3 linked regions of the Caenorhabditis elegans genome follow. The protein of the gene in region 2 interacts with the protein of the main gene of each other region in a pairwise test. Each region holds a gene or a part of one and is shown on either strand. Other genes may lie near its edges. The genes, in order: sma-3, ufd-2 and F49C12.9.

What was found.
Region 1: the proteins of ufd-2 (region 2) and sma-3 interact in a two-hybrid assay, tested with the Caenorhabditis elegans proteins (one large-scale study listed by BioGRID).
Region 3: the proteins of ufd-2 (region 2) and F49C12.9 interact in a two-hybrid assay, tested with the Caenorhabditis elegans proteins (one large-scale study listed by BioGRID).

The regions. Positions count from the first base shown.
Region 1 is NC_003281.10:6,860,226-6,865,684, forward strand, and holds sma-3 (Dwarfin sma-3), read right to left. Parts: upstream 3,744-5,459; 5' UTR 3,739-3,743; coding exon 3,600-3,738; intron 3,142-3,599; coding exon 3,050-3,141; intron 2,924-3,049; coding exon 2,849-2,923; intron 2,800-2,848; coding exon 2,711-2,799; intron 2,653-2,710; coding exon 2,588-2,652; intron 2,471-2,587; coding exon 2,385-2,470; intron 2,338-2,384; coding exon 2,242-2,337; intron 2,198-2,241; coding exon 2,139-2,197; intron 1,817-2,138; coding exon 1,564-1,816; intron 1,502-1,563; coding exon 1,421-1,501; intron 1,329-1,420; coding exon 1,248-1,328; intron 932-1,247; coding exon 866-931; 3' UTR 749-865; downstream 1-748. Other genes in the region: cra-1 (N-terminal acetyltransferase B complex subunit NAA25 homolog), read right to left, coding at 5,289-5,396. UniProt on the Caenorhabditis elegans protein: Involved in TGF-beta pathway. Plays a role in male tail tip morphogenesis.
Region 2 is NC_003280.10:8,060,947-8,066,811, reverse strand, and holds ufd-2 (Ubiquitin conjugation factor E4 ufd-2), read right to left. Parts: upstream 4,072-5,865; 5' UTR 4,061-4,071; coding exon 4,004-4,060; intron 3,962-4,003; coding exon 3,635-3,961; intron 3,590-3,634; coding exon 2,668-3,589; intron 2,618-2,667; coding exon 1,708-2,617; intron 1,660-1,707; coding exon 1,305-1,659; intron 1,253-1,304; coding exon 869-1,252; 3' UTR 619-868; downstream 1-618. Other genes in the region: pdha-1 (Pyruvate dehydrogenase E1 component subunit alpha), read right to left, coding at 1-367, 499-512; T05H10.8 (peroxiredoxin-like family protein), read right to left, coding at 5,348-5,488, 5,533-5,736. UniProt on the Caenorhabditis elegans protein: Acts as an E4 ubiquitin ligase mediating the assembly of polyubiquitin chains on substrates ubiquitinated by another E3 ubiquitin ligase. The elongation of preexisting ubiquitin chains preferentially targets ubiquitin 'Lys-29' and 'Lys-48' residues.
Region 3 is NC_003282.8:9,314,154-9,317,995, reverse strand, and holds F49C12.9 (UBA domain-containing protein), read left to right. Parts: upstream 1-1,780; 5' UTR 1,781-1,888; coding exon 1,889-2,027; intron 2,028-2,093; coding exon 2,094-2,194; intron 2,195-2,241; coding exon 2,242-2,679; intron 2,680-2,786; coding exon 2,787-3,026; 3' UTR 3,027-3,179; downstream 3,180-3,842. Other genes in the region: rpn-7 (26S proteasome non-ATPase regulatory subunit 6), read right to left, coding at 26-352, 403-1,245, 1,291-1,353.

The sequences.
Region 1 (5,459 bases), on a different chromosome or scaffold from region 2:
TTCTATAATGTTTTTCAGGCAATTTTGTCTGATACTCTCATCTCTCCAAATCAAGCCAAAAAAGTTTGTGAGAAAGATGGATCAATCCTGACATCATTTGAAAATTTTGATGAGCGTACCAAACTTTCCACTGTTCTTCGTGATTTCCTTACTGCAAAGAAATTGGATCGTGGATCAATGATTGTCGATGGACATCGTTTGAAGAACTGCGAGACTACAGATAAAACCGTTTTGGCTACTGTAGAATGCAGGAATTCATCATCTGGTTTCACTACTGATGAGAAGCATACTGATAATACTTTCATGTGGAAAAGCTGGTCTGCAACTGAACCAGGACAGACCATCTTTGAAAAGTTAGTTACAGTTGCAAGTTGTTTTTTTTTAAATATGATTTCCAGAAGCATTGAATCTTGCCTTCAACTCTCAATTTCTCAATTCCCTGCTCGCAGTGAGCTGATCAATGACGTCTTCTGCAACTATGTAAAGCATCCAGAAAATGAAGGTGCATCCGATCTCTGGAACTATGGAGCTGTCTGTGGACGTTTCCCAGAATGGATCTAATAGTTAATTTTACGTATTGGATTTGTTATAAATAATCATTTGCTCAAAATTTTCGAGCATATTTTCAGAGTAAACAATTAAAAATCCCAAGAATTAGGGGGCGTTTTTGTCGTGACCGAAAAAAACTGCGAAATCATTCTGAGAATTTCGTTAAGTAAATGTTCGAAGAACATGACAACATTAAAAGAAATCTTCATAATTAAAAAGAACCAGCAAATGTAAAACATGTTACAAGTATCATCATTAGAGTAGGTAAATTCTGAATTCAGGTGGTTGCGAGAAGGAAAGCGTTTTTAACAAATCATTATGTCATTGAATTTGGTTCCATCAAGTTCGTCCTTGGAGTTTGCTTCATTTTTTGATCGATATACTGAAAATATTTCATTTTCACAGAAAACTCAAACAAAATAGGGTACTTTTCCGATTTCTGCCCCCAAAATGTTTTCGATATATTCATTAATGAAACGTTAACTTTTTTGTTATTTAGTATTGAAATAAACATTCACGTGAGAATTGAAATTGAAATATTGAACTTAAAAAATTGGGGGGGCAGAAATCGGAAAAGTACCCAAAATAGAAATATGGCTTAATTTTGGATGATATTTACAAAATGTACAAAAATTTTATAGAATATTTTTGATAATTTGATAAATTTCCAGATACGATTCCTTCTCAAAAAAACTTACAGCCAGTGGCACATTGAGCCGAAGTTCAAGCCAGCAAGGCGTGGATGTGACGTCTTGACGTGGATAATCTTCTCCCCAGCCCTGAAAATTTGTTTATCGAAGTTTCATTTGAAAATCTCACGATAAATTTAACAAGTATAAATCTACAAGGAATTCAAACATTTAGAACAAACCTTTACAAAAGAAATACGAATAAAACAGTGTTTGGAGAGTTCATTCAATCCATCGCTATCGTTGCACGACTGTTCCAACATCTTAATTTTTGACAATTGTTGAAGAATAGCATGAAAATAATTTTAAATTTTAAAAACCTCACTTGAAAAAATAAATTAAACTCAAAAACGCATAATTGACTGTGCGGTGGTATTCGGCAGACTTTGACCAGTGGCATGTTCATCATGAGATTCGTATTTTTGGATTGCACAAAAACTGGCATATCAGAGTTATTTGTAATCATAATATGCATTTGATCTTCTTTATTATCAAGCTGAATTCCTTTTCCAATATGCATCCGTGTGTTCTCAATTGTTCCATTTCGATTCACATTGGTTAATTGTCCAAGACATATTCTGAAATTTCCGGATTATTTTAATAAAGAAACCGGTAAGAATTATTATTATTCAGAACTTCTCGAAGTTAAAGCTTCGAATCAGCAATTTTCACGTTAATTAACTCGAAGTGTCCACTTTTTAATAACTATGATAATATTATAGAGAAGATATGTATTATACCGTATTAATGGAGGAAATTTAAATCAAACTAATAATATTTATATTTTGTAAGAACATTTTTTAGAAGTCCGACCGAAATCGAAAAAAACTAATTATTTTTTGGTTTTTTCACTTTTAAAATCAATTTATTTCTACTTTCGAATGTCTTTCAAAATCTTACCTTGTATTTGAATTTGATGGATTAGTATATCCGTCGACTGTAATGCTCAGATTCACTAGCTGAAACTCCAATTTTGTTTTGTTTTGAAAAATCAAAACCTCACTTTAAAAACTTCTCCAACTCTCGAATTCAACTCAAAATACGTAATTTGGGCCCAGGATTTGGGATGACGGAACGGTGGAGGTCGCTGGTGAACTTGCTGAAAATTATAATTTTTGCAAAAATGTGTATTGCAAAAAAACTAACCACTTCTCCTCCATCTTCTGAAAAAACCGACGGGCTCGGCGAGCTTGCACAAGATGCCGTTGAGCTTCCACTAGACTGCCAGATAGCTGCAATTTTATGTATTTTTCATTTAATTTCCCTAGAGAATTTTAAAGAGAGTTTAGTTGTTTTTTTTTAATAGAAGATTCTGATATGTTTAAACAATTTTTAGATCCAACGCTTACTGTTTGGAGATGATATTGGTTGTGGTGATGGCATTGAAGAATTTAAGCCTTGTGGTCGTGATAATCTGGAATTTTATTCATTTTTGAAATGTATTCCAATTTTAAACAACTTTCAGAACAAACCTCTGATAGTGATATGGATTAATGCAGATGTACATGGTTTTGGAACTAGATTCATATGGGTAGGAGCATGTATCAATTGAACGTAATTCCTGAAATGAACATTCAAAAATTTCAAATTAATATATCCAATTAACTTACATGAGGAGAACTTATATCCGGCCACCGCCATACTCGACAGTAAATCACATGTGGAAGACCTTTCTTATGGGATACCTGAAAAGCCGGAAGTTTGGCGTCAAAAAGTCGTTATTTCAAACCAAAGTGTTATTTTTGAAAGTTATCACAGTTGTCTGATTAGCGAACAAATTTACGTTAAGCAACCACAACGGCGCCACATACCTGTAACCGACCGTCTAAACTTTTTGCTATCGTAATGCATCTTGAGTTTGTACATGGGTTTGCTAGAACACATTCCAGATCTTCGAGGGTTCCTGGAATTTAGAATTTGAAATGGATCGGTTGAATTTCTTTTTTTTTAATATTTATGATCTAACTTATAAATAAGGTGCACTTTGATTCATGAATCGAAAAGGGTCATCGGAAAATGTTAATCATAATATTATATTGTATCCGTAACAATATGCTTAACATTCGGATGGGTCTCGCCGCGCCAATAGTATTTTCGAATACATTCGAAAATGTTAAGTTTGTTTTTTGGTGCTTTCTTCTTACTGTTTTTATAGTTTTTTGCAAGTTAAAAAAAATGAAAATCATAAGAAATCGTAAGAAAAATTAGACTAAGAGGAAGGAGGCTCAAATATTTCTACTGTAAATTTAAAGGTAATCACAAAAATAGTTTTGAAACTTTCATAAGCGCGTCGAGACCCTTTTTCAGAAATGTCCCTCCCTAAATTATTATAAATTCCTTTAAAAAATATATTTGACTAACCACATCCATTATTTTTCTTTTTTAATTTTTTCACCAATGCCTCAACAGCCTTCTCACACCATTTTTCTTCGTCTTCTCCAATTTTCCAACCTAAAAGCTTTTTGACAGCTGGACCATGCATATGCAGTAATCCGTTCATTTTGACTGAAATTTTGCTCTCATTTCAAAAAAACTAATTCAATAATTATTATCGATTTTTGTTTTGCGCGATAAGAAATAGTAACAGGTAACAGAAACAAAAAAAGTGGGTAAACTGAGCGGAAAATGAATGAGAGAAAGAGAGAAACAAGGCTAAAAGTGAATGTTTGAGTAAAGGAAATGATGAGATGATAAGTGATAACAGGGAAGGCGGAGGAGGTAAAGAGAGACTGAGAAAATGAAGATGAACACAAAGAAAACAAAAATGAATCGTTCTTTTGTTTGCACTTTTAAATTCTTTTTTCATGACATGACACCGTTCTTTTTAATTGAACAATTTGAGTTGGGATGAGGGATGTTCCAGACAAAACGTGGCAAGTTCTCACATTTTGGAAGAATGCCAAAATGTTATTTTCTTTTCTGATCAGAGAAGATTTCCATATATATTACATTTTAATTATTTTTCGAATATTTCTATTTCAACATTGTAGTGAATTGTCCAAAAAATTCCAGATTTCACGAAAATTTGTCACTTTACTAAAACTATTCAAAACTTTTTTTTTTAATCGAAGTTTTTATTATGATATTCGTTCATGGACTTTTCGAGTAGAAATTCCCACTGGCAATACTCCATTTAAAGGCAGAGTACTGTAGCGCCAGTGGGAATTTTGTTTAAATACACATATAATAGTTGCCACTCTTTGACATAAAATAAAAAATTTCAAAAAAAATTTTGAAAGGTTTAATTATGATATTCGGTCTTTTTGGCACCATAGGAATAGTTTTTAACACTTTCCCCACTGGCACTACTCCACCTTTAATCATCTCGAAAAAATATATGGATTTGAAAACATTGTCACTATGATCTCATGTTGTTTATGTCATTTGCTCAAAATGAATTTCTATCATAAAAATGTTGAATAACGTGAAATTGAAAAAGTATTTGCGAAACCCGGATGGAATCACATCAGACTGGGGCAGTGTTGGTGGTGACCTTTCCCCACGCCCTGCAACCGATATAAAATAGTGTCCGTTGTGTTGGGGGATAGATGTAGGTAGAATAAAGGTAAATGTGCCCTTGTGTTAATCTTTGCGTCTCTTCATGGCGCAACCCTCTCTCAATTTTCCCAATTTCTTAGTGCCTTTGCGCTTATTGGTCACATCGGTGACCGCTCGTTGAAATAGAATGAAGAGGGAACAGGGGACAAAGGATGGTTGGGGACACAGTTAGCAAGAAAAAAAAAAAAAGTCAGAGAGCAATTTATTCTTTCAAAAACATGAACATAGTGAGAGGGCGAAATAAAAACAGTTGAAATCGGTATTTTGGAGGAAGAAAAACGTCATCGGGGGAAGAAAGAAAAGGCGAAAGATTGATCTGTAGAGATCCAACGATGATGAACTCAAATGATTATGTTTAGAGATGGGGACAAACAATTCGGGGAGCTACTACAAATTTGAAAAAAAAAAGAACAAATTAATAAATAAGGAGCCTAAAAAATAAGGAGCCTAGATGAACAAAAAACAACGTCTAAATATTCTGAAACAAAAAAATTAGAATCTTAATTTGATAGTTGTGTGCATATCTTCACATGTATTGAGAAAAGATCTTTGAAGGCGAGAAGCAACTGGATTATGCATACCTTCTAATGCAGCTTTAGCCTGAAATATTTAGGTGTTGAAATTAGGTTTAAACTCTACATATATGTATAAATATATCATATA
Region 2 (5,865 bases):
AGTGATGACGGCATCTCCTTCTGTCATTGCAGCCTTCATTCCGACGGCACAAGCTTCTTGACCAGAGTAGAGATGACAGAAACCGCGGATTTTCTTCTCCTTGTACAAGTTTCCAGCAGCAGACTCCATGCGACGAATGACCTGCATGTCACGGTAGTACTTGAGAGCATCTTCTCTGTTCAAGGTGACAGAGGTGTTTGGTCCATTGTCAAGTTTATGAAGTTTGCATGGCTTTGTGTGGAATGATACTTCCGTGCTCGCAAGACGAACTTGCTGTGTGCGGATTCCACTGGCAGTCAAGGATTGAAGTTGTCTCGCGAATAAAGACATTGCCGTCGACCAAATACGTTCCAGATGTACCAAGCTACTGAAAGCAGTAAATATATTTCAAAAATAAAAATTAATCGGATTTGGGATGACTGGGAACGTATAAATATTATAAGTTATTGACATGTAACAAATCACAAAACAATACGACACCGTTCGTTATAAACCTACAGAAATTTAGTCATTCCAGGTTCAAGGCTAAAATCAGAATATGTGAAGAAATTCACAAAGAATAAAAATATAAGTATGCGGATCGGAGACCGCAATAGAAGCCAAAATTTAGAAAATAAGTAAATTAGTATAAATTTATTCACATTCAAGGCACTACTCGTGTTTTTTAGGTTTGATGAAAGAGGGCAAGAATACCAACTTTAAGGAATCCATGCAGAAAATGAAACCGAAACCGAAAGATTAGACCATTGAGAGACCAGAAAAACTTATAAAATGAAAGGAACGCGTGAAATTTACAGACATTTTGCACATGTGCAATGGTCAAGTACAATAAATACAAAATTGGGTAACAATAGAATATGATAGAAAATTATTTCTTTGAATTTCTTTTCTGGCAAATCCATTCCTGAATCTTTGCCTTCAACTCAGAATCGGGAGAAAGCTCATTGTGCGACAAGGGAGCACGATTAAACGGATTATTGGGTGTACTGAGAAGATGCCTCTCGATGACTGCACGATCCATCACGTGTCCTGATGGCAATTTGACAGGATCAACCATAATTGCATCCATAATAGGATCCTTGAACTCTTCTGGTACATCATCATACTCTTCTTCAAGCTCAGCTTTTGCCTCATACTCTTTTTTAACATCTTCGGCCAAATGTTCGAAACTTTCGAGTTGACTGAATCCAACAATACTATTCTTTCTCATGCATTCAATCGCATTATGGAAGAATTCAGGACTGTAGGTACGCTGAAAAATAATTAAAATAAATCTCTTTGAATAAACAAATGTGTTAACCAACCTCGTCGTATGCTATGTATTTAACAAATGCAGGCATATTCAGCTTTAAATAGATTGAGATCAGCAACGATACAAACTCCCGTGGTTCCCATCCATAACTTCTTGGATCCTTGACTTTCAACTCGGAGGCCTTGCTACCAATGAGTTGCGATAAATTGTGATTCAACATTGCAGCAAGTCTTTCGCCGAGAACCGGAGTACGGAAAGGTTCGGGTGAGTTTACGGTAATCGATAGTAGCAATTTAAGATTACTTTTGGCTGTTCCAAGCCATCCCTTCACTTTACGTTTTGCCTCCTCGTACACGCCGAGATCCTGATTACGGATTTCTTGATCTGTGTTGTCCCATTCGACTTTGCTGAAAATAAAATTTATATTTTTAAGTTATCATTCGAAATAGTCTTACTTCGCCATCTTTTTCTCAACATCATGGATACTCTTCAAACCAGACAAGCTCTCATCTATACACCATGTTGCATCGTTAATCACCATATTGACAAACCGAATGAACTCTGCTCCGCATTCTCTTGCCATGTCCATAAACTTTCCTTTGTAGAACATATCTTCCTCCATTTTTTCCAACATGTACTGGATATTTCCACGAACGTTAAACTTTTCATAAAAGTCACCATTGTCTTCGAAATCCGAGTAGAACTTTATCATGCACATCAATAAATTTTCTTGTGCCATTCGAAGTCTGACCACGTTGAACCATAATGGAGGTTGAATAGAAGACAGCACTCTCACCAGTTTGGAAACGAGAAATGGGCTTTTGATGTAGTGATATTGTGTGAAAAGGACCGTCAGACGGGAAATCCAATCCGCATTTCTCTCCATGAGCAGTTTCATTCCATTGGAAATAGCGAATATGTAAAAATCGAGAGCATCCTCTAGAAAATATTCTGGGAGCGCACAAAACATTTGTGATACTTCAGTTGGAAGTTGACTGTCGTCTCCGAGCAAATCCAAGTTATCACAAAGCAAATTCAAAATGAATTTCATCTGCTTATCGACAAAATCCATAGAAGATGCCATTAATGCAGGATCTTGAGCTTGTGTCTTAACACATAAAAGATGACGAGACATGAGCTTCCAGTGTTCAGTCTCATAGTTCAACTTCTTTTCCACCTCAGCTCTCTCGAATCCTGACACAGTATTTAGTTTTTCTTTGAGCGCATTGATCTTATGCTTGAGCTCCTTAAGGTGTCGAGAGTATTCACTTATTTGATTCATCAATGGAGGAATAACGAGCCTCTGTGCTGCAATTGTCAGGAAGAAGCAGACTGTAGAGAAATGATATTCATCTGGACGATCTGCTGGAAAAAGAAAACAAGTTAATTTTTTGAGAAAGAAAAATGAAACTTACCGAATTGGCTAGCAAAAGCGACTGCTCCTGATTCGTCCATTTTGAGACGAGTCTCCTTGGAAATATTTATAAGCGAACTCGGTAAAAACGGATAATCTACGATAATTTTGGACAAGTCGATTTTCTCGGAAAACATGTACATCACGGACAAAAAATTTGTCATATAATGATCACACAAGACATCTGAAGGATCATAATGTGAACGAGTGCGAATGTCATTGGTGCTTATGATGGTGGCAATCCATCTTAGAGTTTTGTTGCGACTTCCTTGATCCGAAGCAAGCGGAAGCATCAATTGATGAAGCATAGTTCGAATTGGATCCATTCTTTGGAAATACAGTTTCTGCTCAGTGTTGACTGATCCATCATATTTTCTTGCATCTTCTTCACAATCCACAAAAACTCGATGATTTGGACGCCTTGCTGATGATTCGAGGCCGTACGAAAAGAACGGTCCTAGGAAGGACATTAAACCAAACTCGCGTCCTTGTATTTTTTCGGACGGCGTTGGGAGAAAATCTTCTCGATTAACAAGTAGGTTACTCAGTGGGCGAGGTCCGTTTGAAGGGAGTCTGATACTGAGAAGCAAGTTCATCACACGAAGGATCTGACGAACAATTTCGTCCTTATTGTCTTCAAAGCGTTGACAAATAATTCCGCTCCGCAAAATCCCGAAAATTGGATTAAATGTTTCTGTAATAGCGTCTTCATCGCATTCATCTGTACTTGCAAGGTATTCAACCAATGTTCTTAGAAAAACATTTGACACCGTATCCTCCAGAAGTCTTTTTGTGAACACCAAACTAGCATGTTGGCTGCGAAGTTGGCTCTCCAAGTAGCCTCTCTGTATCATCACAAAAACTGAGAAAACTGCTTTCCTGGTAGATTCGAGAGTTTTCTTGTAGCAATTTGAAGTACCGCTCTGAAAATTGTTAAATTAAAAATAGAACTATATTAGATAGAGTACCTTTCCAAGCTCATGATGGCAACGAACAAAATTGATTAAGAGAAACTCGATGGCGTCTTCTTCACGACATCCAGCAATGATATCAGGGTCGATGAAATTGAACGATCTTGACAGCCCCCTTCTTGATCCATCTTGAGATAAAAGTACAAACTTTGTGATTATTTCGGCAATGTTCGATTGCAGACACTGAGGAGAAACATCAAAATTCAGATTTTGAACATCGATTATCGCATCGGCGTAACGAAGCATTCTGTCATCTGATTTACCTTCACAGTCAAAGAGACTTGTGAGGAAGTCTTTGCTTTCAACATCTGCCTGAAAAAAGAACTAATCGCCTATGAGTATATAAAATGTCAGGCAAAAACGCACCACAGAAGCATCACTTATGTCCATCGGCTGCAAGCCTGCTTTCTCGTCTTCAATCATCTACGATTTCTGGAAATTCGTGATGATCACGTGATTTTGATAAGTAGAGTAACGATAAAGAGAATGGTGAGAGGTCTGATAACAAATATTTTACGGTAATGGGAACATTTATGAGACGGAAAAATTAAACGCAGAGGATTGTATGAAAACAATATTGGACTAGAATTGTGTATAGAGGAAAACATAAAATTATTTTCGAGAGCAAAAACTGTAGGAAGACATTTGCACCGCGCGCGCAAGAGATAGAAAAATCGAAGGAGCAATGCAGCTGCAAAGACGCTGACATTTCGGCCTCTCAATGAACATGCAGTGGAGCGCGTTTGCTGCACTACCGAGACACCACATTTTTGCAGGAGAGAAACATCGGTAGAAAACTGAATTCGGAAGAACGAGTGTTAAATATTGTATCTTTATGATTCTATTTTCAGACACCACTTAATTTGAATATTTTTAGAGCAATAAGAATTTGAAGGGGCAGATAAATTAAGCAACAAAAAAGTATATAAATGAACGAGACTGTGGATGGAACGCACATTTTTGATTTTACAAAATTTTATTCTTTAATAAATATTGTTTTTTTTAAACGAGAATAAACCTCACTTTCAATAAAAATCGTTTAGTTAACTATAGTTTCAAGAGGAAAACAGTAGCGCAACTCAACAATCGATTGTGTACAATTGAGACCCGAGGGACGTCATTGTGAGACTCACCCAATTCTAGACATTTATAGGCGGGTACCTGGTCCACCAGCAGATGTCCTTCAATACGATAAAAAATCAATCAATACACACGTTTGTTGCTACTCTGATGCAATCGTAAATATTCCGGGATATGGCCAGGGTACTGTAGGATTACCGTGGATTATTGTACTTTTAGAAAACTATTGAAACGATCAAAAAAATTCATATGGCCATATATGGTTTGCCTTGAAACTTCTATGTAATAGTGTTGTGTTTTATTCTTCAGATGATAGATTTTTAAATTGATTGAAAATTGAAAATAAATTGAACTTTTTTATTCCAAGAATACAGTAAAAGTTTAATAAACGAGTCTGAAAATCTTCAACCAAAAGAAATCAAAGCATCCGAACATCTTTTTTCACTGTAAAATAACAACCACATTAAATTCGAGTGTTTTTTTTTTGGAAGTTCCACATTGGAACAAATTGAAAATAAATTAATGTTTATGTTATTTCATAGTTAAATAATCTAATATTAAAATAATGAATTAATAATGAGATCAGCCAAGATAACATGTATGGTTTTAATGTAAATGTAGTCTAGATATTTAACTAATTACGCAACACGGTTTCTTTTTGTCCGTCGCCAGTTCCTTTGTTACAGAAATTTCCGAATTCACTTTTGCCAGATTTCCACCTTTCGGAATTGATATTGTAGAATTATTAGTGCTCTCCAAGTATTTGGCGTTCTGGAGAAGTTTGTTAAGAGAGTTTTAAAAATAAAAAAGCATACCCTTGCTTCAACCAGTTTTACTATTTCATCAATATCTGGCCATGAATCTGATTTATCGTCTTCAATGTGCTTGTAAAGAATTTCTCCTGATTTATCCACAAGTACAGTACCACCTTTTTGAGAAATGTAAGAAACTGAGTCTTCTGAGCTTGATGCTTCTTTCGCAACAATTGAATCTCCTTCGACGAGAGAGGCTTCCACAACCTGAAAATTTCCAATTTATACACAATGATTGCTTATCCTTCCCACGTTGCAATTTGATATCAACTTTTTTGCTCAACGTTCGCCAAAGAATAAAAATTTGTTTGAATTTCCGACAAACTGTTACTTTCA
Region 3 (3,842 bases), on a different chromosome or scaffold from region 2:
TACACGTTTGAAGAACTGGGCTCGGTTATGCATTGATAACTCTGGCAAGCTTCTGAATGCGGTTGAGCAATATATCTCCATCCTTGATAACTGCCTTGTACAGATGATTCTTCGAGTCACGATGATTCACTTCAATCACTCCGTTAACAGCATCAATACGACATTGCAATTGCCCAGTCGCAATCAGACGGTGCAATTCGCGGTCGATGAAAGCACGGGAAACACCAAAATCCTTGGCCATCATATCGATACGTACAGTCTTGTAAGGAGTCAAAAATTGTTCGTAAGCGCGATGGCGCATTCCACGAGAGTAATAGTTGAAGTGTGGCGATAGATAGCGATCAAACTTGAACTGAAATATAACGATAAGTGAAAAATACAAGATTTGTTTTAGTAACTTACTCTCTCGCTTTCAAGAGCGGCCAACTGAATGAAGAAACGATCGTAGTGACAATCATAGTATGATTCGAGATACTCACGAACTGGAATCAATGTTCCATTGAGTCCCCCTCCGGTCAGCTGTTCTTGAACTTCATTGCAACGAATAACCTTGGTACGAAGGTCTGGTCTGTCCAAAGCAAAGGTTGTGGTGATGACAGTGTAGAGAATCAAGTTTTCATATGTCATGAGCTCGTATGATCCGAATGTTGGCACAGCTTCAAGGAACAAATCAGCGGCTCCAGCAAAATCACGAACAGACATTCGGTAAAGCGCTTCGTAGGATCGAAGGCGATTTTTGCGTTCCCAGTCTCCTCCTTGCTCCATAAGTTCTTTTGCTTTGGTGATAAACTTGTTGATGAGATGATGATCGAGGAAGAAAAGTCCAACACGAATCATGGCGAAAACTACATCAATACGATATCCCATACCGACTGTCTTCTCATAGGTGGCTGTGTACGCTTTCAGAGCGTTGTCTTTGTCACCGATCTGACAGTAGTACTCGAACTTGCGGAGTAATCCCTGACGCACTTCAGATTCGCCAAGGTTCTTCTCCGCGTCTTCAACTTCTGCGGTGATTTCATCGATCTTTTTCTGATTAGCTGCTTTCATTGCAGCCAATTGTGTTGCATCTACGACAATTTTGAAGTCAGCGCAGACAAGCTCGTAGAATGGCGCCATGTCGAATTCTTTGATAGTTTCCTGAAGCTTCTCGAGCTTGGCTTCTTTCACGCTGCTGTCTACTTCGGGATGATTGAGCATGAATCTGGTTTGTGATAACTCAAGATCAGGCCATCTTGAAATGATCTGAAAACTCTGAACTTGAATGATTTCAAAACTACTGATCCGTACCTCCTTATCGAAGTTTCCATCATCTACGGGTTTCTTCGTGCTCTTTTTGGCAGCCTCTGTCATCCTCCTTAAAATGAAATATGAACACTTGAAATTGTAGCAAACGTTAAAAAGCGGCCAAAACGGAAATAAAACTGTTCAATGGTATTTCAAACGTGAAATAGCATTTTAGTTAGTTTTCATTAAATTTGCTGTAATTATCGAAATATAGATTTGGTATTAATTTTAGTGTCTAGTTTGTTAGTTTTTGAAAATAAGCGTTGATATCTATTTTAAATTCGTAATAGTGCCTTATTTTACATTACAGTGAGCGGCACAGTGAAAACTACGTTAAAATATCTATTTCATAGTGCATAAACAGACAAAACCGTATCAAAATTCAAGAAAACTGGGGGAAAAATTCAAAATGGGACGAATAAAAGTGGGCGGGGATGATGACAAGGGTTTGCAATACGCGGCGCATGCTTTCGCAATTCCGCCGCACGGTTTTATTCATCCTTTCATTATCGAGCGCTCTCGTTATTAGCGTTTGAACGCAGGAAACGGAGCATTTGTTTCGCATTCAGTTTTCAACCGCCATCCCGTTGTATTGAGAAACATGGTTAAATTGCATTTAAAAACCACCTGCCGTGAAGTCCCGATCGAAGAGATAATTTCTACTGGACAGATCCAATTCTTCAAGCATTTATCAGAAAGTACTTCCGAATTCAAAGACCAAAAAAACGTTGAACGTTTCCGTAAGTTTATTTCTTCAATTATCGATCATATTTATTTCTTCAATTATCGAATCAATCACTTTTCAGGTTTGATTTATAACGGAAGAGCATTGAATGAAGAGAGCCTAAAAAAGATTACTGATGCTGATTCAATCAGAGTCGTGCTGCTTCCACCGCTTAAAACAAATGTCAGTTTTTTTCCGTTTGAAACCCAAATTAATTTTAAGATTTTCAGAACCACATCGAAGAAGAGCAAAAAAATCGAATCAGTATTGCTCTCAAGGAGTGTACCGCCCCATATACACGCCCAAATGATCGTCGGCTTCATGGTTTCAACCACGACTTTGCACTTCCAGATCACATGACAACGCTTCTTGAGAAACACCCACAGCTGGTTCATGATAATCAATTTTTATCTGTTCTGAGTGATTGGTCATTATTCCGTGCCTATTGCGTTCAGAACGATTTCAAAGATGATCCAATTCGGGGACAATTCATGTACACGAATCCCGATTTCTTGAAAGTAGTAGAAAATATTCTATCGACAGTAGGATCTCGTTACGGATACGAAAACCTTGATTATGCAAACGTGGAAAGAAATAGACCAGGAATGCTTGCAGCTCAGCGACCAATTGGAGGTGCTCAACCGGTTACTCATGCGTTGCTTCAAAATGTAAGATTTCTTGGACACACTGATTCTCATAATTCGAAAAGAATAATTGAAATATAATAATAGTTGAATACATATTTCTACTAAATTCTCCATGCCAATTTTTTCAGGCTCTCCAAGCAGCCCTGGCAAACATTGCAGTTCCTCCGGCAAATCGGGTTCCAGCTCCCGCCAATGTCCAGCCAGCGCAACAGCAGCAAGAAGAGCCAATGCAGCAAGGATATGAACAACAAGCTGCGACTCTCCGCGAGTTTGGATTTGAAAATGATGAGCTCATTCAGTTGGCTCTCGAACAGGCGAATGGAGATGTGCAAGCGGCTATGGAGTTTCTTATTGATCTCCAAAATTAATCTACACCAATGGTTTTATTCTGTCTTCTCATTAACTTTTTCTGTCTATAAGTGTTCATAATTCGTTTTTAATGCATTCAAATTGCCCTATTCATTCGTCAATAGGGCTAAAATAATCTCATATCTGTTTAAAATAAAGCAGTGAAATGAAATCACCGTTTATTCGTCTAAATCACTCTTCTACAAACTCTTCTCTGCTTATTTAGTGTCTCTGGGTCACTATAACATCGGATAACAACTTATTTCCCTGGGGTTGGGAATGGCAATATTCACTTCGCTTCTGATTCAAAAAAAAATACAAAATAGTCCAGTACATCGGCAAATACTCTTTTACTACGGACATATTTTTTACTACTTCTTATAGTGATTATTACAACGAGTTGAAAATGCATTTTTTATAGTATCATACATTCTAGAAATTAACAATTGTACTTATCAATTAAATAAAATTAGATAGGCCACAGTTTCAGTTTATGCTCGAGTAGTTCTAGCAAATCTGTGTTGCTTTCTTCTGACGGGATACTGAGTTGGAGTTGGCGGAGTGATACTGCTGGGTTACTGTAGTGGTACTGTAGGCGCAATTAATATTTTTTCGCAGAATCAACAAATTTGTTCCATACCTATTGTTTTTTTTGAAAATAAAAAAACATTTCCTGGTCCGTTCGGTAAAAATTTACCGTATTTCCTCTATCAGTTTTGCACCCATTCATCTGTTCCCTATGCGATTCAAATTTCGCATTATAAACACATTCTACAAATTAGGAAAACTCTTACAGACTTGGTATATAAAGTCAGAATTGGTTAGTTATGATTACA